2 linked regions of the Pelodiscus sinensis genome follow. The protein of the gene in region 1 purifies or fractionates together with the protein of each later gene. This does not show direct contact. Links are inferred from orthologs where the notes say so. Each region holds a gene or a part of one and is shown on either strand. Other genes may lie near its edges.

Region 1 (15,002 bases):
GGGGGACTTGGAGCACCCCCCACCTGCAGCAGCTGCTGCCCATCCACAAGAGACAGCATTCCACCTTCCCCCAGTTTAATTGGTTAACATAACGTTTAACCAGTTAACTAATAAAACGAGATTTCACATCCCTAATGGAAAATATCCACAAACTGACAGGATGCAGACAGTAGTCTGTGGCACAATTGACTTAAGTGTCAGCCCAAATCTATAGCGCACACACCTTAAAAAAAAAAAGTTTTTTTAACTGCACAATTTTGTTCTCAAGGCTGTGATTACTTACTGTTAGTTGCTTGCACATTTTCTTCTAGTTTACAGTATAACCTTAACTCAGACACCAGCCAAGCACAGAGTTTGGTAAATTCAGGGGAACCGGCTCCACCAGAGACTGCTTGAGTAAGTGCTCCATCTTCTAACAATGGACCTTTGTAACTGGCAGGCAAAATTAAAAGTACCACTTATTACATGTGTACAGTCAGGCCTCGATTTACGTGAGTTTTTTTGCTGTTTCAGTTATACATGGTCAATTAACTGTAACCCTTCATTTCTGTACATGGTAAAAATTCACTAACACAAAGTAGCGCAGTTGCCAAGATGCACAAATCAGTGGCATAACCAGACAACACTTGTGTGGGCAGGCAATGACAGAGGTGGGGGAAGGAAGGCAGGCAGGATGGAGGCAGATTTCCATTCACCCCTTGCTGCTGGCCTTGGGAGAAACTCTGGCCAGGTGCCCTGCAGCCCCAGGGTTGGAAGCTTGCCTGGCTCCGTCTGGTCCTCCAGCTAGAGAGCAGGGCTGGGGCACAGAGGCTTGCCATGCTCTGCCCACCCAGAGCTCCTGCCGGGATGCGGGGTCAGGGGTTTGGCCAAGGAGTGGGATCGGGGGCTAGCCCCACTGTGCCCAGTGCTTCAGCCATGGAACGAGCTTGCCCTGCTCTGCCCAGCACTTCTGTCAAGGAACAAGGTTGGTGATTTGCACAGCTCCACCCACCCAGCTCTCCAGCCCAAGAGCAGGTACAGGGCATGCACCACTCTGCCCAGCGTTCCTGCCAAGGGGTGGGGTCAGGGCAAATGGGATTCCAGCCAGGGAGCGGGAAAGCCTCCGCACCCACGCAAGCAGGGTGGGGCAAATTCCCATCACCAGCCTCCTGGCAGGAGTGCTGGGCAGGCAGGCAGGCAGGCAGAGTGGGACAAGCCCTTGACCCTGCTCCCTAGCTAGAACATCAGGCAAAGCTGGGTGAGCCCTAGTCACTATTACCCATCTAAAGTGCCCAGCAGACAGAGCCAGGCAAGCCCTTAACTCCACTCTCCGGCAGGAGCACCGGGTGGTTGGGTGCAGTGGAATAGGTGCCAGTGCCCCAAACCCCTGCCCAAGATGTGTGCCTGGGGAGGCTTCTTGACAGATTATTCATGGCCCACCCTATTCATGGCCCACCCACAAGTCCAACTACAGAGGTTGAGTGGAAGCAGCCCGGATCCTTCCTGCCTCCTCTCCCACACCTGTCATTGCCCAACCACCCAAAATCAGGGCCCACCCCACTGCTCCAAGATAGATACTCCTAGTTCTACCTTCAACAATATGATCATAATGCTAGTAGTATATCAAGTTCATCCTCAACATCAGCAAAAGTTAGGACATTACCTGTACTGCAGCAAATTTAAATTTCATTTAAAAACCATTTTGACACCTATAGCACTGTATTGTGTAAGTTAGGGATATCCTCTTGAGAGCCCAGAACCTAAAACCTTATTTCTTATAGATTCTTGTTTTATTTTTTTTTTTAAAACACAATTTCTATTTACACCTTTTTTTATATAAAAATCATAACCCCCTGTAAATCAAGGCCTGACAGTCTATTATGAATGAATTCTGCTACTGATTTTTTTAACATCTACATGCAAATGTGAGGAGTATCACTATTATATCTGAAGTGTTGAAGATACTAGGAAATGTCACACAAATTCAGGAGTTTAATTATGGGGAAACAGGACCATAAAAACATTTGAGTTAAGCAAACGTGTAAGGATTCAAAATGTTTTTATTCTGAACAATGCTACGTAAATATGGAGTGCAACTTATCATAGATGTTAAGTTTACTGATCTATTCTTTCTGCAGTTCTAAAGTACCTCTCTGGAATTATTACTTCATAATAAATTAAGTAACTGGTGCCTGACTATTACCTTTTTGTTTATTTACTGCCACATGCCATTTGCTTTCATATTTTGACTGGGTTGCTAGACAATGCAAAATGGAAACACTGGATACAGATAAGTAGTGAAACAAAATTTTCTGTTGAATGGACATTAAGGAAGTGAAAAGTTGTCTCCATGAGGAGAATTATGGGCCAAATTCAGTCCTGGCATCAACACCCACAATTCTACAATGGGTGTTGCACATACTAACTCTAAATGCAGTGCATTCTAGTTATTTACTGTTTTAGAAGTATTTACTATTTATAAAAGTACAGATTATGGCGTGTACTCTGGTAAATATAAAACATGCTAGATTGCTTTGATGTACTATATCCATCTTGAAAAGAGATCAAAGAAACCTCAAAACCAACTGGACCCTGATATCTTGAAGTAAAACCTCAAATGATTGAGTCCACTTTGACACAATTGGTGCAGACAACTCTTGATAGATATTAAAGATGACAGATGTCTCTACTAGCATATAAGGGCTTCCATCCTGCAAAGATTTGTGGTGTTACTCTCAGGGCACAAAGTAAGTCTTTGCAGGATTGAGGGTTAAGTAATTTGTCAAGTAAAAACCCCTCTTTCTGACACACTCACCAATTCTCCCTTCCCTAAGAATGCCATTCCAGATAACATCTCCCTCATAACCTAGCTCCACTTCTGCAGCTCTTCTGCATGCTCCACAACACACATGCTTCTGCTTCTCTTCCCTACAGTAATGTCTCTGCTCTGGCTGCTGTACTTCTGTTGCACCTCTTGTAATCCACAGTTTGATACCATTTTTGTTTAGTCCAGATGGATTAACAAAAGCACACTTGGACAAATTCTGCCCTTCATTATATCTGTGCAACCTTCTATTGACATTGAAAGTTAAATTAGCGTACTTCCCTGAATAAGGAATTTGGCTCGCTGTGTCATAAAAATAACCTGAAAAAGAAAAAAATTGGCTTGTGTCTTTTTACTCTTCTATATAATATACAAAGCTTAAACCTTTGTTTTCTTCCTGCTTCTCTCTCCTCTACCCCCCAATCTGCCTGAAAGCACATGACGGTCAATAAATTAGTTAAGAGATGAAATCACAAGAATCAAGGCAATGAAAGCAGAAGGGAATTTTAATCAGAGACTTAAAGTTGTTTGGTGTATTTGTTTTTGTTGACATCTATTTGACTTCAGTACCTAATGAACACTTTGTAGTAAGACATCTTTTGTTAACCATTCAATTACAAATGAAGGATTGTCCATGGAAACCAAATGTTACATTCTCTGCTCTGCCACAGACTTCCTATGACACCTTGAGTCACAGTCTTTCTGTGACTCAGTTCCCCATCTGTAAAATGAATGCAACAGTACTCTCTCAACACTAAGTGACACTGCTAGGATACGCATATAACAATTGCAAGGCACTGCAAGACACTACAGCTGTTCCTCAAAATGTTTCACTGTACATACTATCTGGGGCAAATGAAAGGGATTTTCTTATCAGCATAGGCAACCCACCTGGCCAAGAGGTGGTTGCTAAAATGAAGGAAGAATTTTACATCAGAGGTTAGGAGTGTATAGCTCTGTCTCTCACAAGTGTAGATTTTTCACACCCCTGAAAGATGTAGTGATGATGAAGTTCCCAATATAGACCATTCCTCAGCTATCTGGATTCTATGAGAGCACCATATATCATCAACAGACAGAACGCCATAGCCCTGGCAATACAATAGACATGCTGTAATAAGAAAGAAAGTCTTTCAGGCCTGCTTCTTGTACATTTCAAAACCTGTAATGTCAGGTTTCTCCTAGAATAAAGATTTTCCGTTGAAAGTCCCACCTGCCACTGGAGGAGATCCTCAGAAGCGGCTGTGGAAGAGGGAACAAAAGGCGGGTGTCACGTTGGCCACCCCGAGCTAACAGAGAAACACGAGCACAAGGAGTTTTCAGCTTCGATCCCCCTCATGAAAACGGTCAAGTCACCTACCCCGAGACAGATCCACCTTCCCACCCGCAGCTCTGGCTGGGGACTCCGGGAGGGGGGGGGGAGCTGGCCCCGGGTGTACCCCTGAGAGGACACCTACCCTAGATCCTCCAACGACTCCAGGATGTCGCTCTCCATGAGCTCGAGCTCCATCCTCCGCCCTGGCACCCAGCGGCCCGTTTCCTCGCGAGGGATCAAGCTGGCACCTGCACAGCAAAGCAGAGTCAGTCACCAGCGCGCCAGTGCCGGCCGGGCCCGGCCCCCCACCCCGCTCAGCGGCAGCCCCGGGGCTCCTCAGCCCCGCCACCGCTCCCTGCCCAGGCCGGGGATCACCCCCGCCCCGTCATCCCCCCCTCCGGGCCTGCGCCCTCCCCTGCCCGACGGGGCGGCCCGCACGCACTCTGCGCAAGCAGCTACCAAGCCGACTGCCGGGTTGGCATGTCAGGAGGAGGGGAAGGGAATAGGCCCCCAGCCTGACCTCTCACCCAGCAGCGGGAGCTGCCCCGCGCGGTGCCTCACTCGCATCCCCGCCTTGTGGTCTTGTAACCTCTCCGCTCCTCTCGAGTTCCTCCTTCAGCGTGACTGGGGACATCGTTTTAAACTTCCGAGTTTTGTTTCAGTCGCAGAAACGACCCCTTGAAGAAAAATATTTTTGTCGGGCAGCGAGTGGGCAGCCCTGAGAGGAAGGACCCCTCTTGTGGAACCCACGTTGGAATGTGGCGGGCCTGGCCCGCTGGAGACAGCGAAGTTAAAGGAACGGAGGGAGACGGGGTGGGGAAAGGGACAAACTTCAGCAGATAGCGGCCGCTACGCTAGCGTGGCCAGGACTATAAGTCCCAGCATGCAAAGTTCTAGGTAGAACCTAGCGGCTGTTGAGTTCCGCTAGAACAACGGGTTCTTTAATAAATAAGACAGAGGAGAAGGCGCGTGGCACCATGTTCCGCCTGGGCACGTGCTGCCGGGCTTTTCCGCGCTGCTCTTTCCTTTTTACCAAAGGCGCGGGAGCAGGCTAGAGCCAGTTTCCTCCTGCAACTCTTCTCGCGCGCGGCACGGCCCCGTAGGCTGCAGGGTTCAAGGAGACTCGTGGGATTTTGGAGAGCAGACCGTGTGAAGTGGCTCTTCCCCTCAGGCTTGTGTAAGACGGAGGCAGGACGTTTGCAATGAAATGCAGCTGCAGGCTCGTGTGATGAATTTAAGGTGGAGGGATTTGGAGAGAAAATGGAACTCGGAGGGTCTCCCTCCTTTGTCCCTGGGGGTTTGTCTACACGGCAACGTTTTTTTGGGATACCAGAGGTAGCTACCCCATGTCCTTTGAACGTGTCCGCTATTTCGCCATCCCTGTAAAACCTCATTGTATGAGTAAGGGATGGCTTGAAATAGCGCTGTATTTTGAAATTTGGCGCAGTAGACAGGGGCAAATGATGAAATGAGCAATTTTGAAATACTCGAAATAAGCTACGCAATTTGTGTAGCGCAAATTGCTTATCTTATTTTGAGTTTCAGATGCTGGGGAGACACACCCTGTGTAGGTTTATGCAAATCAGTCACATTTCCATGTGAGGCTGTTGGAACATGGAAGAGTGTTTAGATCTGTGAAATGGGGGGTGACTTCCAATAAAGGGAAGGGGCCCTTGCCCCATAGCAAATGATACTGTGTTAACTAACATCGTTTCTCCAGGTCATGTTCTAACACAATTTTATCTTTTAGTCAAGGTAAAGGCAGGATCTGAGTTGTGTGGTTCCAGCCAACATCCTCAAAGGGAAAAGTATATATGTGCATAAGGATTCAGAATGGTAGCAGAGGGAGGAAAAACTCCTCCTGTCTTCTGTATTATTGGGCTGGGTGTTGCCATCCTGCAGGCAGTCACACAGTGAGTCCATAAATCCCCAAAGGGCAGCTTGTGGAAGGAGGCAGCAATGTTAGGTAGTAAAAAAATCAAAAACATGTCATGAAGCCAGTACTGTGCTGTGAATTTAGTGGTGCATGTGCATGTATAAATGTAGGACCCTGTATTTAAGTACTGTTAATACAGACAAATGTAAAAGCTGACCAGAAGTCACAGAACAATGGAAGGAATGGGTCATAGGAAAAGTGAGTAGCCTTGGAATCATATAAATGTGCATGAACCCCTTCCAAGGCTACCATCTGCTTCTGCCACTTTCATCTGACTCACTCTAAGGCAGGGGTTGGGGAACCTAAGGTTCAAGGGCCAGAGCACACAAAATCTACTAGCCTAGGCTCCCTAAGGTTTTTGTGTGTGAGGGGAATATCTTTCTCCTCATTCGGGTGCCAGGGCAGTGAGGGTGGGTTTGGGTGTTTTTTTGTTTTTGCTTCTCTCTCGTGGGGCCTGACTGATTTTTTGCCACCCCTGCTCTAAGCTTTAGCTTTTAAAGGTTCTAAGCCCTTGTGGTTGCAAACACAAACAGTGAAGCAGGTGTGACCAAGAGAGGGATAACTGTGTTTACAGGTAGTTTGAAACATCCAATCTGAGATTTAACTGCCTCAGCTTTTATCTGTTGTTATCCACAGCAGTCACATTTTAAATATCAACATTGATTGTAAAAAATACTGATCATTTTAACAAACTAAAGTGTTTCTCACAATCCCACACAGCCTCCCTGGTGCCTTAAATCCCAGCTGTGAACCCCCTAACAGGGATTACACAGAATATCAAACTAAGTAGCACAAGGGAACATGGTGTAGTGAGTTCTTACTACTACTTCTAGTCTAGGTCTCATATGGGATTGATTCTTCAAGTCCTTCTCTATTCCACTTTGTCTTAAAGCATCAATTCAGTTTTGGGTCTACCAATCCTTCTTGCCCTCCACTTTTAAAGTGAAACATCCTGTTTCTTATACATTTTTCTAATCTTTTCACATGCTTAAATCATCTAAGTCTAGAGTCCTTTTGGTTTCTATAATTAGTACCACCTTCACACTTTTCCTAATTCATTCATTCTGAACATGGTGACTTTGAGCATACTTAAAATCTGTATTTCCACTGTAGTGGTTCTTACTCCTTTTCTTAATCAAAACTTCCATTTTTGAACATGCCTGAAGCTGCTGCAGCTTTTCCAGCCAGCTGCACCAAAATGCAGCAGAATCTATGTACCTTGCTACAGTCTTTAGTTTCAGCATGTCACAGAGCACATGAACATTGCTATGAAAGGGAGTCTGCTGTACAGATATTAATAATTAGATTCATTGCACCCATTTATTAAGGGCACAAACTGATCTTACTCATAGTATTAAGAGCAATATAAACTAGCACTTAGCAAGGGGGGACTTTTTTTATGAAAAAAATTGGAAAAGAATTTGGTTGGTGGTCAAGAGCCACATTCTTCCATATTAATGGAGGTGCAGGGTCTGGGATAAAGGTTGGGTGCAAAAGGGATTTTAGGATAAAGGGATTAGGGTGCAAGAGGGGCTGTGGGATCTGGAAAGGAGTTTGGGTAGAGGGAGTTGACCTGGAGCGGGAGACGGGTGCAGGGTCACGGAGCAGGTATGGGTGCAGGAGAGGATTGACCTGGAGGAGGGGTGTAGAAGGGAATGCAGGGTCTGGCAAGGGGTTGTGACCTGGAATAGGAGTGCAGGAGAGGGGTGCAGGGATTTGGGTTGTGACCAGGAGTAGAGGATTAGGGTGCAGGAGCAGTGGTGCTGTGCGTTTGGGTTACATAAGGCAGCAGGGTTAGAGGGAGGGAGGTCTGGAAGGTACTTACCTGGGCAGCTCCCAACCAGCAGCCCAACTGGTTCCTCAGCCAGGGTCCCTGCCTTCCATGCCCCTGTACTGGTTGCAAGGGCCACATGTGACTCTGAATGCTGCAATCCTGATGGAGGTGGGGCACTTATGCACTTCCTGGCCTGCAAACAGGCAGCTCCTATTGGCCAGAAACAAGTCAATGGAAGCTGCAAGACTGTGCTGGAGTCAGGGGGCCTCTCAGCATTCAGAGAGCTGCTCTGAGCAGCAGGGCAGAGCAGGCAGGGAGGGAGCCTGGCAGCGGCTCCTGTGGGCCGGGTCAGTGGCCCAGATGCAGCCTATGGGCAGTATTTAGCTGTTCCCAAGTTAGACACAAAGGTGATAAATACAAAAGGCTTATTGACAACTTAATGAACACAGTGCAGAGAGGATGTGACATTTTCAAAAGTTAAGTCAATGAGATGTATGCTCTTTAGTGCCTAAGTCACTTATGAAAATGGAACATAGGCTCCTAAATCACTTAACTGCTTTTGAAAATTTTGCCCATCATCTAAAGTCTGACTGGAATTGAGCAGGACAGGACTAGCACTGCCTTTCAAATGTTAACATGGCTTCCTGTGGCATCTGAAGGAGCAGGCAAAAGTTCAGCACTGACCCGGACAAGTCCCAGCAAGTGATGTTGGAAGAGAACGAATCAAAGGTCAAGTTGTTAAATTCATTCAGTAAGACAGCCAAATTCCATTTTTAATTATGTTCTACTATATTTTGTAGTTTAGGTAGGGTGAGTTCATTTCACGTATCAGTTCCTTAGATCCCTCCATTTCCCTCTTCCCATCCCCCCAAGCACTACCATCCTAGCTCCCTCTATTTCAAGGACTCTTTGCAACCCTCCCCATCTCTCATGCTAAGGGCTATAAAGCAGCCCCCATTTTTCCCTCTTCTATATGTCAGTGGCTGTGTGTCTCCTATGCCCTTCCCCTACCATTGTCCCTCCATTCCCATCCCCAACATGGCTGGATGTTCCATTCTCCCTTTGGGCACATGATCAGGTGTGAGCTGGATCTTCAATCATCATCGATGTAGCCAAGTTTCCCATGGTCCCATAACATTTGTTTACAGCTACCAGTCCTGGCTTTCTCTGTTCTGTGCTATTATTTAGCTCTAATTTACCCCAAATGTATTCTAAGAGCCCAGTAAGCAGTGGAAGTGTTGGTAAAGCAGCTAGACAACATTGACTTCCCCTGGTGCAGCAAATTCTCTGGGTCAGCACCAGTTAGGTCCTGAGGGTGCTGGATTAGAGGGTTAACCTGTACTGTTCTTTTTAAAAACTGACATTCTGCAGAATCTGTATTGTCTTGAGGTCCACAACTACATCAGGCAGACCACATATTGACCATCTCTGATGAAAATGGACATAGTGGATCCTCATTACATGATCTACAATCACATGACACATGCAGTGAAGATAGCAGAATCTACTTCCTACAGATAAAACAGAGCAGCTGTTGCTCTTTGAGCCCATCACTGGATTATGCCAATATTAACCAGATAGAAAAGACTTCAGGGCTTCTGTGGTGTGGTCACATTGAGCCAGTCCTCAACTTCTGAAGTAACAAATTAACAAAGGAGACCGGGAAATTCATCATCTGTGGAGCAGAAGCAGGAACATCCTTGGTAATTCAATATATAGATTTTGTAAAGAGGTAAGGGGACTGAGTATGGCTCATGCCCAAGTGTTACTTTAGAGGACATTTTTTCCACCATTTTTTCCCCATGCAGATCAGCTATTTCTTCTCACAACAGGACTAGCCTAGCTTGTATTATAAATGCACGCAATGTAAGGCAAGCGCCTATGCAATATTATCTGGGATAAACACCACTTATGACTAATCTATTTAATAAAAAACTTCTCTCTCAGTCTGTTCTATTCTTCTATGTGCTTGCAAGCCAGAGATGAAGATGCTTTCATTACGAGACTTTTTTTGGGGGAAAGAAGGAGTGGAAAGCAACTGCACCCCTCTGATAGGCAGGTGAAATAACCTCAAACAAATGCTGAGAGCACATAAGAGTAAAATTATATAGGAATTTAAGCATAAGTGTAATTTTCACATTGCACTGAAAATACCCAAGAATTGTGGAAAGGTAAGCATTTGAAATATCCCCTCCCCATCATAGAATCATAGGGCTGGAAGAGACCTCAGGAGGTCATAAAGTCTAGCCCCCTGCCCAAAGCAGGACCAATCCCAACTAAATCATCCCAGCCAGGGCTTGGGTCAAGCCTACTGGGATCACCAGTCCTTCCACAGCATACATACACACCATTGTTAAATTCTGTTCACCACACAAGCAAAAGTGCCTGGAGGCAACAGGAGTGAAGCAGCTTTTGTATTCCCCGGCCCCTGAAACAGACACGGTTCTTAATATTGCCTTAAAATAACCTGCATGAAATAATGATAGAAATGTAGCCGTGTTAGTCTGGTATAGCTAAAACAAAAAACAGGACTATGTAGCACTTTAAAGACTAACAAGATGGTTTATTAGATGATGAGCTTTCGTGGGCAAGACCCACTTCTTCAGATCAAATAGTGGAAGAAAATTGTCACAACCATATATACCAAAGGATACAATTAAAAAAATGAACACATATGAAAAGGACAAATCAAATTTCAGAACAGAAGGGGGGTGAGGGGGTAGGGAAATGTCTGTGAGCTAATGATATTAGAGGTGATAATTGGGGAAGCTATCTTTGTAATGGGTAAGATAATTAGCGTCTTTATTCAAACTTGAGTGTAAAGTGTCAAATTTAAGCATGAATGACAGTTCAGAGGATTCTCTTTCAAGTGAAGTCTTAAAAGGTCTTTGAAGCAGGATGCAGGTAATCAAGTCGTTGAGACGATGTCCTTTCTGGTTGAAATGGCAAGAAACTGTTTTTTCTTTGTGATCCTGTCTGATATCTGTTTTGTGGGCATTGATCCTTTGGCGAAGTGTCTGAGACGTTTGTCCAATGTCAGTCATGCTTAAATTCGACACTTTACACTTACGTTTGAATAAAGACTCTAATTAGCTTACCCATTACAAAGATAGCTTCCCCAATTATCACCTCTAATATCATTAGCTCACAGACATTTACCTTCCCTCCCCCCCATCCCCCTTCTGTTCTGAAATGTGATTTGTCCTTTTCATATGTGTTCATTTTTTTAATTGTATTCTTTGGTATATATGGTTGTGACAATTTTCTTCCACTATTTGATCTGAGGAAGTGGGTCTGGCCCACGAAAGCTCATCACCTATTAAACCATCTTGTTAGTCTTTAAAGTGCTACATAGTCCTGTTTTTTGTTTCTGCATTAAATAAGTTTTTTTCAAAAATCCTTTGCTGAAAATAGGTTTTAAAATAAACACACAAGGTCCAGAGTAACTTCACTTAAACTGTTTAATATTTAATATATTGTTTAATAGCAAAAAGAGCAGTGTCAACATATACACATCTTCTTGGGTGTCACCAAAAGAGCATATATATATACACACACACACACACACACTCTGAAGTAGGCCTTGTACAGCACATCTTAAGACTTGGGGGTAAAGGCCTCAATGCTAATCAATAGGCTGTTTTTACAACAGTACATTCATCCAGTCTGAGACCTTATGCCCCAATGGGTGCTCTCATCAGAGAGAAAGGAAAATAAGGACTGTATAAAGCATGCAATTCTATACCCACCTTCTCAGAGTAGGATTTCAGTAGTCAAACAGCTCCAGATAACATCTGTTTCACTCCTGTAGAAATTAACAAAAAGCGGGGAAAGGGAAAGGGCCTGCCCGAGAAGCACAAACTGGGTGGCCATCCCAGATAGATGTGCGGAATAACTCTTTGTCTGTATCAGTCACAAACCTGTAGCCCCCTTTGCTTTTCTTTCCAGCCACATCAATATTTTCTGGCATACAGTTCTCCTGATGCCATGTGGAAAAAGGTAGGTAGACACAGGGCAGAATGAAAACAGCCAAATTGACCAAACTGATCTAGACACAATCATAGATTGTGCCAACATCAGTAAACAGGTGACTGCTGAGTTAAGTTTTACTAGGGAAAATAAACTGTGGATTGGTTTCTTATGTTACTTAATCTAGGATGCTAACCCTTGGGTTACTTTACAAACCTGAGGCAGGATATAGACCCGTGTGTCCTTCCAGGGATCTGGAATGGGGATCAGCTGTGACAGGAGCTGTACTTGTCATTTTGTACCTAAGAACACAATAATATCTAGATCTTATTAAATAATTGTTACATTATAATAGACGAGTTGTCTAGTTCTGTATTCTGTTTCCAAGCGGCCAGTGTGTGATGCTTCGAGGAAGGTGTAATTCTCACACAGTACACCAATGACAAATGGGGTGTGAAATTCCTTCCTTACCTCAGTGGACCAGTTTAGATCACAAAACATACAAACTGATCTTTGTACAATTCTCAACATGACTTACAGCACCTTAGGGGCTACAATGGGTCAGTCAGCTGGAGATAGTTGGAATGCAATATGCACCTCTGGTACCAGGGTGCAGGGACCACAAAGGAGCTATGTCATGTCTGGGGCTGCTGGGGACTCATGGGTGGTTTCTGCTCCCCTTGTGCTATTTGAACAGGGCAAAGAAGGTAGAATAGGATAAAGATCCAGAGTACTGGTTTGAGCCTTCACTTTTTTGAAATATGTTTGGCTCTCCAGATGAAAGCACTGGTCACCATTTCAGCAGTGCATTAAGTGCTGAACTAGTGCCTATTCCACACTTTAGTCTTTACTCCCCCCCAAGCAAAACACGTATGAATGACATGCTAAATGTGCACATTTGCTGGAGTACAATACCTAGCTTTTTTTTGTGGCGTTACCATTAATTCACAACTCATACACTGTACATGTTAAGTTTAAATTGTCTTAACATGCCTTATGTTGCATTGGGTTACACAGACTCTGGCTAATCAGTACTTGTGAAGTTCCTCAAAACTCCATAGGCTTGAGGAACCTAATATTTCATAAGCATACTTTGCCACCTCTCTAGTCACCCTTAATTTCCTTAAATTAAAATATTAATTACCAATTCTAGAACTTATCTGTGGGGCTTCCTTTAAGGCCCTTTCTATTCTGAAAACTGGACACTTATTTTTTGACTAACCCTTAACTATTTTTTAATCTATATCAAAACCTTGAGTCTCTCAGCTCACTGCTACCTACCTTTATCAATGAAACACAAATGTGGTCAGGAAGAATTCATGGCTGAAGGTGGTTGACAGGAATTTTTTCAGAAGTTTTAAAAAAATCTAAATAAAAAATTGTCATTATTTAGTTAACCCTTTCAAAGAATTGTTACAGGTTAGACAAAATTTATCCTTAGAAGAGCTGTACTTGTCCGCTTGTATTGCGTTATATCAAGGAAGTCAAACTTAATTTAACAAAATAATTCAAGTAATTTCAGATTTGAAAAGGGTTACCTCTTCCCATACACATTGCTAGATGACAGATGTCCAATATTAGGCTCGTTGGTAAGCACTAAGGATAAGGCCAGCAATTTTCACACAATTCCTTTGGTTACATTGCAGCTTAGTAAAGCTCCATCTATCTTGCAGTAAACTTGATCTAAATTCACTACGGTAAGGCTTATTCATTTCTGCTGCGTTCCAGTATGGCACAATGAAACATGCAGAATCTTGTCAATAAGTGTCATTCAAACATTGCTCTTTGAATTTACAAGAAACTTGTGACTGAAAGGGTTTGTGTGCGCGCGCATGTATTCAATATTATTCACTCCAGAGAGCTTTACTTATTCCACCTTGTCAGCAGATGGCTAGAACCAAAAACTTATTCAATGAAAGGCAGCTTCCTACCTCATATAAAATGTTCACATACCATGTCAAGAAGGAGAGGTAATAAAGTATGGTACCATTCAGCCACCACACACAAAATCCGTCTCAAGCTCAACCCTCCCCTTAAAACTCTGGAGTCAAGAATCCAAAGGCGACCTAGGACTTCTTACTTCCAAGTCAGAGCTCTAGAGCTCTACAAGCAGAGGGGATCAGTACAGTATATGGCCCATTAAATGTATTATCTGTAAACCACAGCACAACACAAAAAGGTATGCCATTTCACACAAGTGAAAGGACACACACAAGCTCCCCCCACAGATCCACCAACATACCTTCATCCTGCTCTTCCAACACCTCCTTCTGTTGCAATGTAAACCTTAGTAAACCTCAATCCTAATACCCCGCACTCTGAACAAAGTATCAGTTGTACCATGCTCTAGGATGAATATTTACTAGGGAGTACAGGCAGTCCCCGGGTTACGTACAAGATAGGGACTGTAGGTTTGTTCTTAAGTTGAATCTGTATGTAAGTCGGAACTGGCGTCCAGATTCAGCCGCTGCTGAAACTGACTGCCAGTTCTGACTTACATACAGAATCAACTTAAGAACCCCAGGCGTCCCCAAGTCAGCTGCTGCTGAAACTGATCAGCAGCTGATTCCAGGAAGCCCGGGGCAGAGCAACTGTGCCTCGGGCTTCCTGTAGTCAGCGCTGGTCAGTTTCAGCAGAAGCTGACTTGGGGACGCCTGGGGCAGAGCAGCTGGGGTGCTGCTGGGTTGCTCCAGTAGCGCCGCTCCTCGGTGCTACTGGACCAACCCAGCAGCACCCCATCTGCTCTGCCCCAGGCGTCCTGATTCAGCCGCTGCTGAAACTGACCAGCAGTGGCTGAATCAGGACCTGGGGCAGAGAAGCTGGGGTGCTGCTGGGTTGGTCCAGTAGTGTCCAGAGCGGCGCTGCAGGACCAATCGGCAGCGCCCCAGCTGCTCTGCCCCAGGGTCCAAAACAAAAGCCTGGTCTGCTGGGGGGGGGGGGCACACTAGCTGCGCTCCCCCCCCCCAGCAGACCAGGGACATGGGGAGCAGAGCCGCAGCGGCAGCGGGGTGCCGCGCCTCTGAGGCTTTGCTCTGGCAAAGTCTCAGAGGCGCAGGACCCCGCCACGGCTGCAGCTTCAGTCCCGGTGCCTGTGGTCTGCTGGGGACGGTCCCCAGCAGACCACAGGCACCCGGACTGAAGCCGCAGCCGCGGGGGGGTCCCGCGCCTCTGAGGCTTTGCTCTGGCAAAGCCTCAGAAGCGTGGG
Region 2 (15,493 bases), on another chromosome or scaffold:
AGGAGCAACCCCTCGGACACGTGTAGCCTGACCCGAGAGTCGCTCGAGAGCACGCCCAGGCCCACACTCACGTGTAGGATGACAAACTGCTGTCATAAGTTGTCTTCACTCCATAGTTTTCTTCATTAAACTTGAACATCTCATTGGGGTCCCAGCCATTAGACTGCAACAAGGACAAGTGTGAGAGATGGGCTCTGCAGCCCGCAGCCGCGGAAGGGATGTGGGTAGCCAAGCCCTCTCTCCAGGCCCAGGATCCAAGCAGCAGGGTTCTTACCATGTCAGACTCTAGGTCGTAGTCGTCGCTGTTGCTGTCACCCCCTTCCCAGCGCTGCAGCACCTTCTCTTTGTGCTCCCCATTCACCTTGGAATTCATGGCGATGGCTGAGTCCGTAAACTTGTCTAGGAGCAGACAATGGGCTGTAAGGTCTGCACCCTGCGGGGCAACCCCCCAACTCCGCACCAAGCAGGGACAGGCCCCGACCAAGGGCCAACGTTACCTTTTGTGGCATAATTGAAATCGACGTTGCGGAAATGCACCAGCATGACATCCGTGGGCTTGAAGACCATGGTGTCCACAATGTCCTCCCGCTTAGGTCCTGCCAGCTGATCCTGGGTCTTCCTGTGCACTGCATCCACTGCCAGCTCAAACTACAAACAGCAACGGTTACTGCATGCTGTGCCCTGCCTCGAGAGCCAGGCCTCCTCCACCACTGCCACGGGGACCTCGCATGCCCACTGCAGAACTCAGAGGCGCTGCCCCTGCCTTGAGAGCCACGGGGACCTCGCATGCCCACTGCAGAGCTCAGAGGCACTGCCCCTGCCTCAAGAGCCACGGGGACCCCGCATGCCCACTGCAGAGCTCAGAGGCGCTGCCCCTGCCTCGAGAGCCACGGGGACCCCGCATGCCCACTGCAGAGCTCAGAGGCGCTGCCCCTGCCTCGAGAGCCACGGGGACCCCGCATGCCCACTGCAGAGCTCAGAGGCGCTGCCCCTGCCTTGAGAGCCACGGGGACCCCGCATGCCCACTGCAGAGCTCAGAGGCGCTGCCCCTGCCTCGAGAGCCACGGGGACCCCGCATGCCCACTGCAGAGCTCAGAGGCGCTGCCCCTGCCTTGAGAGCCACGGGGAACCCACACGCCCACTGCAGAGCTCAGAGGCGCTGCCCCTGCCCCGCCATTACCAAGGGGGACCCCGCATGCCCACTGCAGAGCTCAGAGGCGCTGCTCCTCCCCCACCACTGCCAAGGGGGACCCCACACATCCTCTGCAGAGCTCAGAGGCGCTGCCCTGCCCCAAATACCAACTTGCTGCTGTCCAAAGGACTGGCCATCCATGCTAACAGCTGCCATTTCTACCCCCTGTAACATTTACCTTAGAGCTGAGGGTTTTAAAAATCCCCTCAAAGGTGCTGCCATTTTTCACCTTCACATCACACGTGGAGCCCTGGGGACAGAGCCAGAGATTAGCGTTGGCTGGGAAAGCACAAGCCAGAGGGTCCAGGGTCCCCTCCCCAGAGCACAATCTGCCTCCCACCACTCCCAACCCCCATGCAGCTCCCAGAGTCGCCCTGCTCACCCTCCTGGGCTGGGAGAGAGGGGAGACCCAAAAGGGATCGCCAGGAAGCAACACACTGTGCCATGAGCACCTGGACTCACGGCTGCTCCTGGGTGCCCTTAGCTCAGCCAGCCCCACTTCGCTGGGGAAACACCAATGTGACCTATTGTGAATGCAAAAGCTGCCAAAGCCTGGGCTGCTTGCAGGGTGGGTGGGTGGGTGGGGATGAGGTGAAATCTTTGGCTGGGAAGCTCCCAGACCACCTCCAAGCAATTCTCTTTCTACAGCAGGGCATGCACAGCACCCAGTGCCCTCTCCCCAGTCCCACTGGGCACATAACGACCAGGCCTCCATGCTCTGGGGATGAACACATCCAACAGGCATAGCAGCAGCTGGCACTGACACCCAAACTGCAGTGCCAGCCTTCAGCTCCTTCTCCTTCCTGCCCCTGCCATCAACACGCCTGCTGATCCTTTCCTCTCCCCCCACAGGTCCAGTCCCCTGGGCCGAAAATACCCCACATTTCCCTCTCTTCCCTCCTTCCGCCCCCATGCCCCAGACTCCTCCCTCTCCACCCCACTCCCTGCTTCCCAACTCAAAGGCCATTGCTGGGAACCAGGAATTTCTGACAGAGGGGATAGCATGACCACCCTCCTCCCAAGCTAAACACTCCCCCTTTTCCCAAATTACAGCCTGCTTCTGAGTGCACCACGGTGAGCAACCCCTCAGCATTACAGCGGAACTGACAGCACTTACCACGACAGCCGTCAGGAAATGCAGCATTCGAGAATTGTTATAGACACCTTCAAATACCTGTCGTTAACACAGTAAGATGAGCCCATCAGCAAGGAGCAGTGAGCATCCCTCCTGCATTTCCCCGGCTTCCCCTAGATGCGCCACCCTCGGAGCCCGGGCTACCAGCAATCACCTCTGTGGTGCTATTGTTACAGGGCATGCTTGAGGTATGTCTCCAGGGCCAGCCACCTGCTGCTGTGCAGAGACGCAGGCTTAGGTCCTGAACGACCCCCACATTTTGGCACCCTGAGCTCATGCCAACCCCATCGGCACTGGCAGGCCCAGAGTGAGCCTGCCCCCTCTTTCCAGAAGGAGCCAATTAAAGAATTCACAGTTCTTAAGGCCAGAATGGTCCAGTCTGGCCTCCTGCATAACCCAAGCCAGAGAATCTCACCCAGCAACCCCAGCACATGGCCCAGTGAGAGGGAAGAGACAGCATTGCAGGGAAACCTCCTCCAAGGTGGATCTGAGAGAGAGACAGCTGGATGTCAGAGTCCCACTGGCGACTCTGTTCTCCCCACTAGTACGGCAACTCCCATGAGCCCTGCCTCACGCTCCACCTCCCAGCCCAGTCCTGCAGCACAGCTCTGCTGAGGTAGCGTCTGTTGCTGTGATAGTCAAAGCCGAAGAGCCATCTTCAGGGAGCCAGAGAACACGTCTGGCCTTGAGAAGAGTGCAGACTAAATCGGCTGTCATCAGGACCATGAACCTGAGGCATAACGTGCCTCTTTTAAAGCTGCTTCTCAGAGCAGAACACCCCCCAGGGATGAGAAGCCAGTGGGGATGCGGTAAGTGTTTCTAGCACACTAGGAGTGAAAGTGAGGGACCAATTTAAAAGCACAGGCACACTGGGGACTGAGGAAACAATGGGACCTTTCACCCCAATCTGGACCTGGGTTGGAGCAATACATTGCCTTAAGGGGTATCTGGGAAGGAGGTATGGGCCTTCCCCTTCCAGGGGACACTAGCTCCAATCTGGCCTCAGGAAAAGGAACTGGCAGGCTCAGGGGGTGAGGAACGGCACCATTTAAGAGTGTTGATTCTGATCTACCTCCAGGCGCCAGGGGAACTGGCTTGGCTCACTGAGGACCTTGTCATACTGATGTCCCTTCAGATCCAAGAGATGCTAGTGCTACCAACAATCAGCTATGAGCCATACACAGCCCCTGGGCCACAGGGTCAGAATGCTGGGGGCCCCATGCATCTCTAGCGCACATTTTTGGGAAACAGTGACACTTGCACTGGTACCATGATGCAGAAAGCAAGTCCAGCAGAAGCCCAGGGGAAGGAATGAATGGGGTCCAGTGCAAATTGTCCTCAGCCCAGGCCATGTTCTCAGGAAAGAGGAAGGGCCTGTCCAGCCACCCTGGCTGAGGCGGAAGAAAAGCAGCCCTTGATCAGGAAGTCAGTACCACAGACAGAGCTTGACAGCCTGGCTTGGCTGGGAGATCCTGTGACCAGTAGGAGGTTCCCCCTCCCCCCTTTAGAAAGAGCTTGAGGTACTTACTGGAGACTGGGGAGGCCCCTTCCCTGTGCTCTGCCCCCTGAAAACAAATCACAGAGAGTGCTGATTACAGAACTGCTATAGCCTCAGGCCCCACAGCCAGGCCCAGCCACTAGGCCGGGCTCACCAGGCCGATAGCCCGGACGAGAGATGTTAAATAGCGGCTAATTGATCTCATGAATTCTTATCAGTTACTTGACTATTCTATAGTCCCTGGGAGTGGGGCCAGCAGCCTGTGCACTCCGGCACCACTCCCAAGGAGCCCCCCGCCACTTCGCTGGTGCCAGGCAGGAACTGGTCTGTGAGGGGAGCCAGTATAAAAACCAGAGGCAGCAGGGTGCGGTGGCAGCAGCCCCTGTCCAGAGGAGGGGCTGAGCTTCCAGACCCAGCGCGAGCCAGAATTAAACTGGGCTGCCTGCCCACCCAGCTCCTAATACACTTTAAATGCAGAGCCGCAGCAGGGGTAGGTCCTGGATCTGTCACAATCCAGGACTGAGCCAGGCTGCTGGCCAGCCTGCTAAAAAAATGTACTGGCAAAGTGGGGGAGGAGGGAGGAATACACGTAATCAGTTAATCAACTACATTATTACATCCCAGGCCTGGACACCTGGGTCCTATCCCAGCTCTGGGTGGAAGTGGGGTCATGGAACTCAGATATGGGAGTTCAAGCCCAGATCTGGGTTGGAAGGAGCCTGGGAGCTTCTGGAAGGGGGGAAGGTTAGGAGCCTAGACACCTGGGATCTAGTCTGGCTCTGCTTGGGGAGTGGAGGGTAGGGGGCAGGGAGCCTATATGCCTGGGTTCTAGCTCATCTTTGGGAGGGGCAAGAGATGTAGGGTGGGCAAGGAGAGGGGACATGCTAGAAGCCTGGACACCAGGGTCCTGTCCCAGCTCAGGGTGGTGGCCAGAGAGAGTGGGAGGGGCTGCTGGGAGCCCATCCTGGCTCTGGAGAGGCAAGGGGGGAGGCCAGACACCTGAATTCCAGAGTGGGGGAGGTGGGGCTGGGAGACCAGAAGCCAGGGTTCATGGAGGGGGGATGTGTGTGTCCTGTCCGGGCTCTGTGGGGATGGGGGTGAGGGGCAACTAGGAGGCCAGATGCTTGGGTCCTAGAGTTTGGGAGGGACGACAGGGGCTGAAGGATGGGGTTGGGAGGCCAGACGCCTGGGTCCCATGGTGGGGTAAGGGCAGATGCTGGGTCCCATGGCTAGGGGGAAAGACACTGGGTTTCCATGGCTGGGGGGGAAGGGAGAGGGGCAGACACTGGGTTCCACAGCGGAGGGGAGGGGCGGATGCTGGCTTCCATGGCAGGAGGGAGGAGAGGGGGTGGATGCTGGGTCCCACGGCGGGGAAGGAGTGGATGCTGGGTTCTGTGGCTGGGGGGGGGAAGGGACGGGGCGGATGCTGGGTCCCACGGCGGGGGAGGAGTGGACTCTGGGTTACGTGGCTGGGGGGGGAAGGGGTAGGGGCGGACGCTGGGTCCCACGGCGGGGAAGGAGTAGATGCTGGGTCCCGTGCCTGGGGGGTAAAAGGGGGAGGAGCGGAGGCTGGATCCCACGGCAAGGGAGCAGTGGACACTGGGTTCCGTGGCTGGGGGGGAGGGGCGGACGCTGGGTCCCATGGCGGGGGAGGAATGGATACTGGGTTCCGTGGCTGGGTCCCACAGCGGGGGAGGAGTGGACTCTGGGTTCCGTGGCTGGGGCGGGAAGGGGGAGGGGCGGAGGCTGGGTCCCACGACGGGGGAGGAGTGGACACTGGGTTCCGTGGCTGGGGGGGAGGGAGGGAGAGGAGCGGAGGCTGGGTCCCACGGCAGGGAAAAGGCGGACACTGAGTTCCCAGGATGGGACACTGGGTACCGTGGCTGGGGGAGAAGGGGCGGACAGTGGGTCCCATGGCAGAGGAGGAGTGGACACTGGGTTCCGTGGCTGGGGGAGAAGGGGCGGACAGTGGGTCCCATGGCAGAGGAGGAGTGGACACTGGGTTCCGTGGCTGGGGGGGAAGGGGGAGGGGCGGAGGCTGGGTCCCACGGCGGGGGAGGAGTGGACACTGGGTTCCGTGGCTGGGGGGGAAGGGGGAGGGGCGGAGGCTGGGTCCCACGGCAGGAGAGGAGCTGACGCTGGGTTCCGTGGCTGGGGGGAAGGGGGAGGGGCGGAGGCTGGGTCCCATGGCGGGGGAGGAGCTGACACTGGGTTCCGTGGCTGGGGGGAGGGGCGGACGCTGGGTCCCACGGCAGGAGAGGAGCTGACACTGGGTTCCGTGGCTGGGGGGGAAAGGGGGAGGGGCGGAGGCTGGGTCCCACGGCGGGGGAGGAGCTGACACTGGGTTCCGTGGCGGGGGGGGAGGGGCGGAGGCTGGGTCCCACGGCGGGGGAGGAGCTGACACTGGGTTCCGTGGCTGGGGGGGGAAGGGGGAGGGGCGGAGGCTGGGTCCCACGGCGGGGGAGGAGCTGACACTGGGTTCCGTGGCGGGGGGGAGGGGCGGACGCTGGGTCCCACGGCAGGAGAGGAGCTGACACTGGGTTCCGTGGCTGGGAGGGGAAGGGGGAGGGGCGGAGGCTGGGTCCCACGGCGGGGGAGGAGCTGACACTGGGTTCTGTGGCTGGGGGGGAAGGGGGAGGGGCGGAGGCTGGGCCCCACGGCGGGGGAGGAGCTGACACTGGGTTCCGTGGCTGGGGGGGAAGGGGGAGGGGCGGAGGCTGGGTCCCACGGCGGGGGAGGAGCTGACACTGGGTTCCGTGGCTGGGGGGGAAGGGGGAGGGACGGAGGCTGGGTCCCACGGCGGGGGAGGAGCTGACACTGGGTTCCGTGGCGGGGGGGAGGGGCGGACGCTGGGTCCCACGGCGGGGGAGGAGCTGACACTGGGTTCCGTGGCTGGGGGGGAAAGGGGGAGGGGCGGAGGCTGGGTCCCACGGCGGGGGAGGAGCTGACACTGGGTTCCGTGGCGGGGGGGAGGGGCGGACGCTGGGTCCCACGGCGGGGGAGGAGCTGACACTGGGTTCCGTGGCTGGGGGGGGAAGGGGGAGGGGCGGAGGCTGGGTCCCACGGCGGGGGAGGAGCTGACACTGGGTTCCGTGGCGGGGGGGGAGGGGCGGAGGCTGGGTCCCACGGCGGGGGAGGAGCTGACACTGGGTTCCGTGGCTGGGGGGGGGAAGGGGGAGGGGCGGAGGCTGGGTCCCACGGCGGGGGAGGAGCTGACACTGGGTTCCGTGGCGGGGGGGAGGGGCGGACGCTGGGTCCCACGGCAGGAGAGGAGCTGACACTGGGTTCCGTGGCTGGGAGGGGAAGGGGGAGGGGCGGAGGCTGGGTCCCACGGCAGGGGAGGAGCTGACACTGGGTTCCGTGGCTGGGAGGGGAAGGGGGAGGGGCGGAGGCTGGGTCCCACGGCGGGGGAGGAGCTGACAGTGGGTTCCGTGGCTGGGGGGGGAAGGGGGAGGGGCGGAGGCTGGGTCCCACGGCGGGGGAGGAGCTGACATTGGGTTCCGTGGCTGGGGGGGAAGGGGGAGGGGCGGAGGCTGGGTCCCACGGCGGGGGAGGAGCTGACACTGGGTTCCGTGGCTGGGGGGAAGGGGGAGGGGCGGAGGCTGGGTCCCACGGCGGGGGAGGAGCTGACACTGGGTTCCGTGGCTGGGGGGGAAGGGGGAGGGGCGGAGGCTGGGTCCCACGGCGGGGGAGGAGCTGACACTGGGTTCCGTGGCTGGGGGGGAAGGGGGAGGGGCGGAGGCTGGGCCCCACGGCGGGGGAGGAGCTGACACTGGGTTCCGTGGCTGGGGGGGAAGGGGGAGGGGCGGAGGCTGGGTCCCACGGCGGGGGAGGAGCTGACACTGGGTTCCGTGGCTGGGGGGGAAGGGGGAGGGGCGGTGGCTGGGTCCCATGGCGGGGGAGGAGCTGACACTGGGTTCCGTGGCTGGGGGGGAAGGGGGAGGGGCGGAGGCTGGGTCCCACGGCGGGGGAGGAGCTGACACTGGGTTCCGTGGCGGGGGGGAGGGGCGGACGCTGGGTCCCACGGCGGGGGAGGGGCCGGGGTCTCGCTCTCGCGCGCCGCTGGGCGGGGATTGGCTGTACAAACGACCAATCAGCGCCGCGCTCGCGCTGTTAGAGCCCCCCCCCCCCCGCGACGCGCGCGCAGTGACGGGACCCTCGCTCCCTCCCAGCCCCCCCGCCGCGCACGAGGGCCCCGGCCCCGCCCCGCCGTTACCTGGTGCCGCCGCCTCCCCCGGTCGGGGCCGCGGCCCGGGCCGGCCCGGCGCTGGGGCTCAGGCTGCCGTTGGGGCTGGGGGCGCCGGGTGGCGGCGCCTTGCGGGCGGGCGGGGGCCCGGCCTGGGGCCCGGGGCCGCCCGGGGGGGGCTGCGGGGGCAGCGGCTGCGGCTGCTTCAACATGGCGGCGCCGGCGCGGCCCCGGAGGAGTCCGGCGGGCGGGCGCGCGCGCGCGAGGCGGCTCGAGCGGCGGCGCGAGGCGGCGGCGGTTGGCGCGCGGGGCGGGGGGAGGGGCGCCGGCGGCCGGGCTGGAGCGCGCTGCGGCCTGGCTCCTTCCGCACAATGAGCCTGGCTGAGCCGAGAGCAGAAGGGCAGCGCGGCGGGGAAGCCAGCTCACTGCGCCTGCGCCGACGGCACCGCCAGCCGGGCACCTCCGCACCGCGGTGATCAGTCGAACCACGTGATGACACGAGTGGAGAACTTTTTGAGATTCTTCCGCCGGGTAAGAAGACCGTTGGTGGGCGTTGCGCATGCGTGGGAAGACGAAGCGTCCGAGGCGCTACGCGTTGGAGGGAACCTTCAGGCTGCTTTCTACTGCGCATGCGTAGAGCTGCACTCCCTCTGCGCGTGCGCCCCCCCCACCGAGCGTGTTATCCGCCGCACGCTAGCTGACCCTCGCTGCGCATGCGCGTCCTTGAGAGGGAACTTGCCGGAGGCGGGGAGGGGCAGAGAAAACTTAAAGCGCAAGCGCATCGGAATCCCTCCGCCAGGGGCGCCTTATAGAGTGGACAAAAATGAGTCCCGGCTCTTGCCCTGCGCAGCCTCAGCCCCCACCGTGACGTGTACACACCCTGTCCCCAGGGAGGGGACAGAGCTGGAGAGGAAGCAGGAGGGGGCGGAGCCGGGGAGGGGGCGGAGGAGGGAGGAAGCAGGAGGGGGCGGAGCCGGGGAGGGGGAAGATGAGGGAGGAAGCAGGAGGGGGTGGAGCCAGGGGGGGTGGAGGAGGGAGGAAGCAGGAGGGGTGGAGTTGGAGAGGAGGCAGATGAAGGAGGAAGCAGGAGGGGGTGGAGCCGGGGAGGGAGCAGATGAGGGAGGAAGCAGGTGGGGTGGAGCCGGGGAGGGGGCAGAGGAGGGGGGAAGCAGGAGGGGGTGGAATCGGGGAGGGGGCAGAGGAGGGTGGAAGCAGGAGGGGGTGGAGTTGGGGAGGGGGCGGAGGAGGGAGGAAGCAGGAGGGGGGTGGAGCCGGGGAGGGGGAAGATGAGGGAGGAAGCAGGAGGGGGTGGAGCCGGGGAGGGAGCAGAGGAGGGAGGAAGCAGGAGGGGGTGGAGCCGGGGAGGGGGAAGATGAGGGAGGAAGCAGGAGGGGGTGGAGCCGGGAAGGGGGCGGAGAAGGGAGGAAGCAGGAGGGGGTGGAGCCGGGGGGGGTGGAGGAGGGAGGAAGCAGGAGGGGGTGGAGCCGGAGAGGGGGCGGAGGAGGGAGGAATCAGGAGGGGGGTGGAGCCGGAGAGGGGGAAGATGAGGGAGGAAGCAGGAGGGGGTGGAGCCGGGGAGGGGGCGGAGGAGGGAGGAAGCAGGAGGGGGTGGAGCCGGGGAGGGGGAAGATGAGGGAGGAAGCAGGAGGGGGTGGAGCCGGGGAGGGGGCGGAGGAGGGAGGAAGCAGGAGGGGGCGGAGCCGGGGAGGGGGCGGAGGAGGGAGGAAGCAGGAGGGCGTGAAGCCGGGGAGGGGGCGGAGGAGGGAGGAAGCAGGAGGGCGTGGAGCCAGGGAGGGGGCGGAGGAGGGAGGAAGCAGGAGGGGTGGAGCCAGGGAGGGAGGAAGCAGGAGGGGGTGGAGCTGGAGAGGGGGCGGAGGAGGGAGGAAGCAGGAGGGCGTGGGGACGGGGCGGAGGAGGGAGGAAGCAGGAGGGGGTGGAGCCGGGGAGGGAGCAGAGGAGGGAGGAAGCAGGAGGGGGCGGAGCCGGGGAGGGGGCAGAGGAGGGAGGAAGCAGGAGGGGGTGGAGCCGAGGAGGGGGGAAGCAGGAGGGGGTGGAGCCGGGGAGGGGGCAGAGGAGGGGGGAAGCAGGAGGGGGTGGAGCCGAGGAGGGGGGAAGCAGGAGGGGGTGGAGCCGGGGAGGGGGCAGAGGAGGGAGGAAGCAGGAGGGGGCGGAGCCGGGGAGGGGGAACAGGAGGGAGGAAGCAGGAGGGGGCGGAGCCGGGGAGGGGGAAGATGAGGGAGTAATCAGGAGGGGGATGGAGCTGGGGAGGGGGCGGAGGAGGGAGGAAGCAGGAGGGGGTGGAGCCGGAGAGGGGGCGGAGGAGGGAGGAAGCAGGAGGGCGTGGAGCCGGGGAGGGGGCGGAGGAGGGAGGAAGCAGGAGGGGTGGAGTTGGAGAGGAGGCAGATGAAGGAGGAAGCAGGAGGGGGTGGAGCCGGGGAGGGAGCAGATGAGGGAGGAAGCAGGTGGGGTGGAGCCGGGGAGGGGGCAGAGGAGGGGGGAAGCAGGAGGGGGCGGAGCCGGGGAGGGGGCAGATGAGGGAGGAAGCAGGTGGGGTGGAGCCGGGGAGGGGGCAGAGGAGGGGGGAAGCAGGAGGGGGTGGAGCCGGAGAGGGGGCAGAGGAGGGGGGAAGCAGGAGAGGGTGGGAAGCAGGAGGGGGTGGAGCCGGGGAGGGGGCGGAGGAGGGAGGAAGCAGGAGGGGGTGGAGCCGGGGAGGGGGCAGAGGAGGGGGGAAGCAGGAGTGGGTGGAGCCGGGGAGGGGGCAGAGGAGGGGGGAAGCAGGAGGGGGTGGAATCGGGGAGGGGGCAGAGGAGGGTGGAAGCAGGAGGGGGTGGAGTTGGGGAGGGGGCAGAGGAGGGAGGAAGCAGGAGGGGGTGGAGTTGGGGAGGGGCAGATGAGGGAGGAACTGGAGGGGTGGAGCTGGGGAGGGGGCAGAGGAGAAGAGGTAGAGCGGATTGAGATGGTGGCAGATTCAATTGTCTGGTCTGACCTCTGTGTCCCAGTGTATAGGCAGCCTTGAGTTAATGGCTATTTGAACTAGATCAGATCTTTAAGGAACAAATCCAATCTTGATTTTAAACAGTCAGTGGAGGAGAATCCACCACAATCCTTGGGAAATTATCCCAGTCATTAATTACCCTCCTTGTTAACATTTCACGTCCTGTTTCTAGGTATATCTATTCTGCCCGAATTGCTTCACTGAAAGTGTAGCTGCTGATCAAAAAGCCCTAAAAGAAAGGTGGTGTTTCATGTTCCCATTGTCCTCTGTCTGCAGAGCACTTCCACACTTGGGGCAGCAGCATGAACAGAGAGCACTGCAGTGTGGGTAGCTCTCCACCTTCACTGTTAGCTCTTGTGGGAAGGCAGAGCGGATGGCGTCATGGGTCTGGACTCTATGGTCCCGGCATGCTAAGCATTTTTCTAAATCCCTTGTTTTCTGCTCCCCTTGCCATCGCTGTGTACAAGAGAGGATCCCACCCGGCTCTCCCGTATTAGCATAACTGTCAGCAGCACGGCACTGAACAGCCCTGTAGCTAATGGTGAAGTTTCAAACCTCATGGGATTCACTGTTGCCTGAGGCATCGTCTGAGTTTGGCAGAAGCGGCATTTGATCACTTTGGGCATTCAGGGAACAGTTGCGCACCATGGAGCACGTCACTTTTGGCTCAGGTGGGTCACGTTGTTATGTATGTTTTCAGCTGCAGAACTTTTGGATGAGGAAAGACACCTTCAAATCATAGGGCTGGAAGAGACCTCAGGAGATCATCAAGTCCATTCTGAGGTCTCTTCCAGCCCTATGATTCTATGATTCCAGCCCCCTGCCCAAAGCAGGACCAATCCCAACTAAATCAACCCAGCCAGGGCTTTGTCAAGCTGGGGCTTAACCTCTAGGGATGGAGATGCCACCACCTCCCTAGGGAACCCATTCCAGTGCTTCACCACCGTCCTAGGGAAATAGTTTTCCCTAATATCCAACCTAGACCACCCGCACTGTAATCTTCTGGGAAATGTGCTGAGCTCACCCCAGCCCAGCAGCACAGGGACACCTAAGTCATGGAACTGGAAGGACCCTGGAGAGGTCTTCAAATCTAGTCCCCTGCAGGCAGGACCAAGCACCATGTAGAGCATCTCTGACAGGTGCTTGTCTAATGATAGCGATTCCATAATCTCCCTAGGCAATTTATTCCAGCACTTAAGCACCTTGACGGGAAACTTTTCCTAATGTCCCCCATAAATCTCCTTCTCTGAAATTTAAGCCAGTTGCTTCTTGTCCTATGATCAGAGGTGTAGGAGAATACATTTTCTCCCTCCTTTGTCTAACAACTTCTTAGGTACTTGAAAGCTACTATCATGCCCCCTCTCAGATTTCTCTTTTCCGGACTAAACAAATCCATTTCTTTCAGTCTTCCAGAATAGGTCAGGTTTTGCAGACCTTTAATCACTTTTGGTGCTCTTCTTTTGCCTTTTCCCAATGTTTGCACATCTTTCCTGAAATATGGTGCCTGGAACCGGACACGGTACTCCCAACTGAGGCCTAATCAGCATGGAGTAGAGCAGAAGAATGACTTCTCATGTCTTGCTGACAGCACTCATATTAATGTATCCCAGAGTGATGTCTGCTTATTTTTGCAGCCATGTCACACTATTGACGAGAGATGTAAAAAGTGGGTTAAACAGGTAACCGTGCAACCGCTGAAAGTGCCACAGGGAGAACAGGGACTGTCTTGCTGGCCCCCTGCTTCCTGCAGCTCTCTTGTACATTTCAAAGGCTGAAGTGGGAACACAGGGTCAGTGGGGACAGCTTGAGGGCCCACTGGTCTTGCTCTCCCTGCTGCGCCCTTCCCTATGAGAGGCAGCAAGGGGGCAGATAGGGCAGGCTGCTGCAAAGCAGCCCCTATCCATAGAGGTCCCAGCAGGGAGCTGGACACCCCGTGGACTGGGGCTGTTGCTGCCAAGCAGCCCCTGTTTGCAGCAACCAGGGCTGGCCGCAGGCAGAGGTTTGCAGCGGACAGGGCTGTCCATCATGAACAGGGGCTGCTGGACTCAGTGCAAGCTGGGGCCAACCAGTCCTGGCTTGTGCTGATCTCTCCGCCTTTGCATTTTAAATGTAGTAGGAGCCCAGCAGCTCTTACTACATTTAAAATGCAGAGCCGCAGTGCAGGTGGCTCCTGGAGTTGATACAAATTGTATCAACTATACGATTAGCCTGATAACCGCATTTGAACATCCTTAGTTGGGCCCTCTGGGCTCTAGTGCACAGGGGACTGTGGGGAACATCTTTCTGCTTCCCAGTGGGTGGCCACGTCAATGAGGGGGTTTTCCCCTAACTTGTGTGCAGCCCTTGACTGCTTTTTTTCTGAGGGTCAGTGGCCACCAACCCAAAAAAGGTTCCCCGCCCCGATCTGGATTGTGAGTAGGGATGTTAGATGTAGTGTAACTGTGGTTACACGACTATTCGATAGTCCCTGTGGGTGGGGCCAGCAGCCTGTGCACTCCCAGGAGCCCCTGCCACAGGGGCAGCAGTGTGGGATGGCAGGTGGAGTCAGTCCATGAGGGGAGCCAGTTTAAAAACCAGCTCCCTGTGCAGACCGGCTGCCCTGAACTGCTGCCTCTTGATACAGAGCAGCAGCCTCGTCCATGGAGGGTCTGAGCTCCCCACAGACAGGCTGCTCCATGGGAAGCTTGGCTCTCCCGCTGACAGACGTTGCTTCATGGCAGCCTCCCCCGCCCCCTTCCCCCCCTGTGCTGCTGCCTCTGATGCAAGCGGCAGGGCAGGAGGCAGCACCGGCTTCTGCGTGCCCCTCCTCACTGCCTCTGTAGGAGACAGCAAGGTGGGGGAATGTGGGTCAATGGGAGCCCACACATATCAACTCTAGCCTGCCCCCTCACCCTCTGTGCTGCTGCCTCTCTACCAGAGGCAGCAGCGTGGCGGGTGGGGGGCCAGGTGGATCCGGTGCTCATGGGGAGCTGCTTTTAAGCTAGCATCTCACAGGCACCGGCTCCTGCTCCCCCCACAGAGGTAGCAAGCGGGAGGATGTGTGTAGTTGACAAGATGAACCCATAAGCCTAGGCGTATTGGTTAATTGTATAATTGACTTCACGTTGAGATCCTTAGCTGTGAGAGCAGGGGACTGGACTTGAGGGCCCAGCCAGTTCTGTGATTCTGGAGTTGAGAACAGCTCCTGTCTAGATGCAGCACTGGGTGACCTTACTATGGGTCCCACATTGTCATTTACCTTCACCTCTTCATCAGTGACTTCATTGTCTGGCCTACATCCACTTTCTGCAGGCTCCAGCCCTGCCGAGGCAGTACAGGTGGCATCGATGCCAAGGATAGCGACCCAATCCTTATGAAGACGGCTGCACCAGGGCCGTGGCTCAGCTCCCTTGCCCTCTAGGAGCTGAGGCATGTGGACCAGAACTCTGCTCTGCACTGCAGCATGTCCTGATCTTAGCCCTCTAGGTATGGCGCGTGGCTGGGGCTGCACAGCCTCCTCGCTCCAAATGCGGTCCATGCCAGAGAGCGTTTGCTGAATGGAGGTGCCATGGTCTGTTGAGACAATGGGATGGGAGCAAAGAAGTGGAATTTCCAAAAATGCCCAGGGCTTCAAAGGAGGAGGCGAAGTGGGCAGCTGCAGGGCAGTGCAGTCAGGATGGGCGTGGTAGAACACTTTCTGGAGGCAATGAGATAAAAGCAAAGGAGGGGTCTACATTGACACTGTAGCAACACAACTTTTGCATAAAAAGCCCCATGCCTCTCTTCAAGTGAATTATTTTGTCACCAAAAGGGGCACTGCAGAGTGTACATCTCCTTTGGTTTGACACGAAAAAGCTGCCTTTGGGAAAATCAAAATAACAACAAAACAAAAGTCTGCAGTGTAGACAAGGCCTCACTTCAGTTTCCATTCATGGCATCTTCATTGCCAATTGAAAAGCTCTCTCTTAAATTTCTGTTCCCCATATAAGCAAATACAGACTGAAAAAGTCACCCTCTTTGTTATGTTAATAAGAGTTAGTTCTTGGAGTCTGTTACTGTAAGGCAGTGGTTCTCAACTAGTAGATCGGGATCTAATAGTAGTTCCTGGAGCCTCTGACAGGTGACCCTAACTAGGTATGTGAATAGTTACCAGCAGGGCTCGACAAACCCTGAATCCACTCGCCCGTGGTGAGTAGATTTCAGCTGGTCGCACTGTGAGCCCCATTCACGGGCGCTTCGCGCATGCGCAGTGCGGGGCTGGCGAGTGGCTCTTGCCAGGGTTTGTCTAACCCTGGTTACCGGGTGATGATTAGTTGCTACAATTAACTGGTGGCCGGAAGCGGCCTCCCCTATTTGAGTGGTTAACCAGTTAAACATAACGTTCAGCCAGTTCACTGATTAAAGGGTATTCTACATTCCAGTTCTATGATTCCTAATCCTGACCGGTTTGGCTGGCAGGCTTTCAAGTGCCAGCACCTCAGTACCTCTTCCCCCACTGGCATGCCTGC

Evidence for each region.
Region 2: the proteins of FAM98A (region 1) and ATXN2L purify together in Homo sapiens (co-immunoprecipitation; 3 studies listed by BioGRID and IntAct, with this or other methods). This does not show direct contact. The link is inferred for Pelodiscus sinensis from reciprocal best matches to the Homo sapiens genes FAM98A and ATXN2L.

What each region holds. Positions count from the first base shown.
Region 1 is NC_134713.1:139,028,296-139,043,297, forward strand, and holds the start of FAM98A (protein FAM98A), read right to left. Parts: upstream 6,460-15,002; 5' UTR 4,753-6,459; coding exon 4,646-4,752; exon of another isoform or gene 4,561-4,645; intron 4,367-4,560; coding exon 4,261-4,366; intron 4,046-4,260; coding exon 4,017-4,045; intron 433-4,016; coding exon 284-432; intron 1-283. UniProt on the Homo sapiens protein: Positively stimulates PRMT1-induced protein arginine methylation. Involved in skeletal homeostasis. Positively regulates lysosome peripheral distribution and ruffled border formation in osteoclasts.
Region 2 is NW_027465989.1:87,590-103,082, reverse strand, and holds the start of ATXN2L (ataxin-2-like protein), read right to left. Parts: upstream 8,365-15,493; 5' UTR 8,224-8,364; coding exon 8,042-8,223; intron 3,893-8,041; coding exon 3,856-3,892; intron 2,815-3,855; coding exon 2,743-2,814; intron 2,367-2,742; coding exon 2,310-2,366; intron 1,443-2,309; coding exon 1,371-1,442; intron 649-1,370; coding exon 498-648; intron 400-497; coding exon 275-399; intron 164-274; coding exon 72-163; intron 1-71. UniProt on the Homo sapiens protein: Involved in the regulation of stress granule and P-body formation.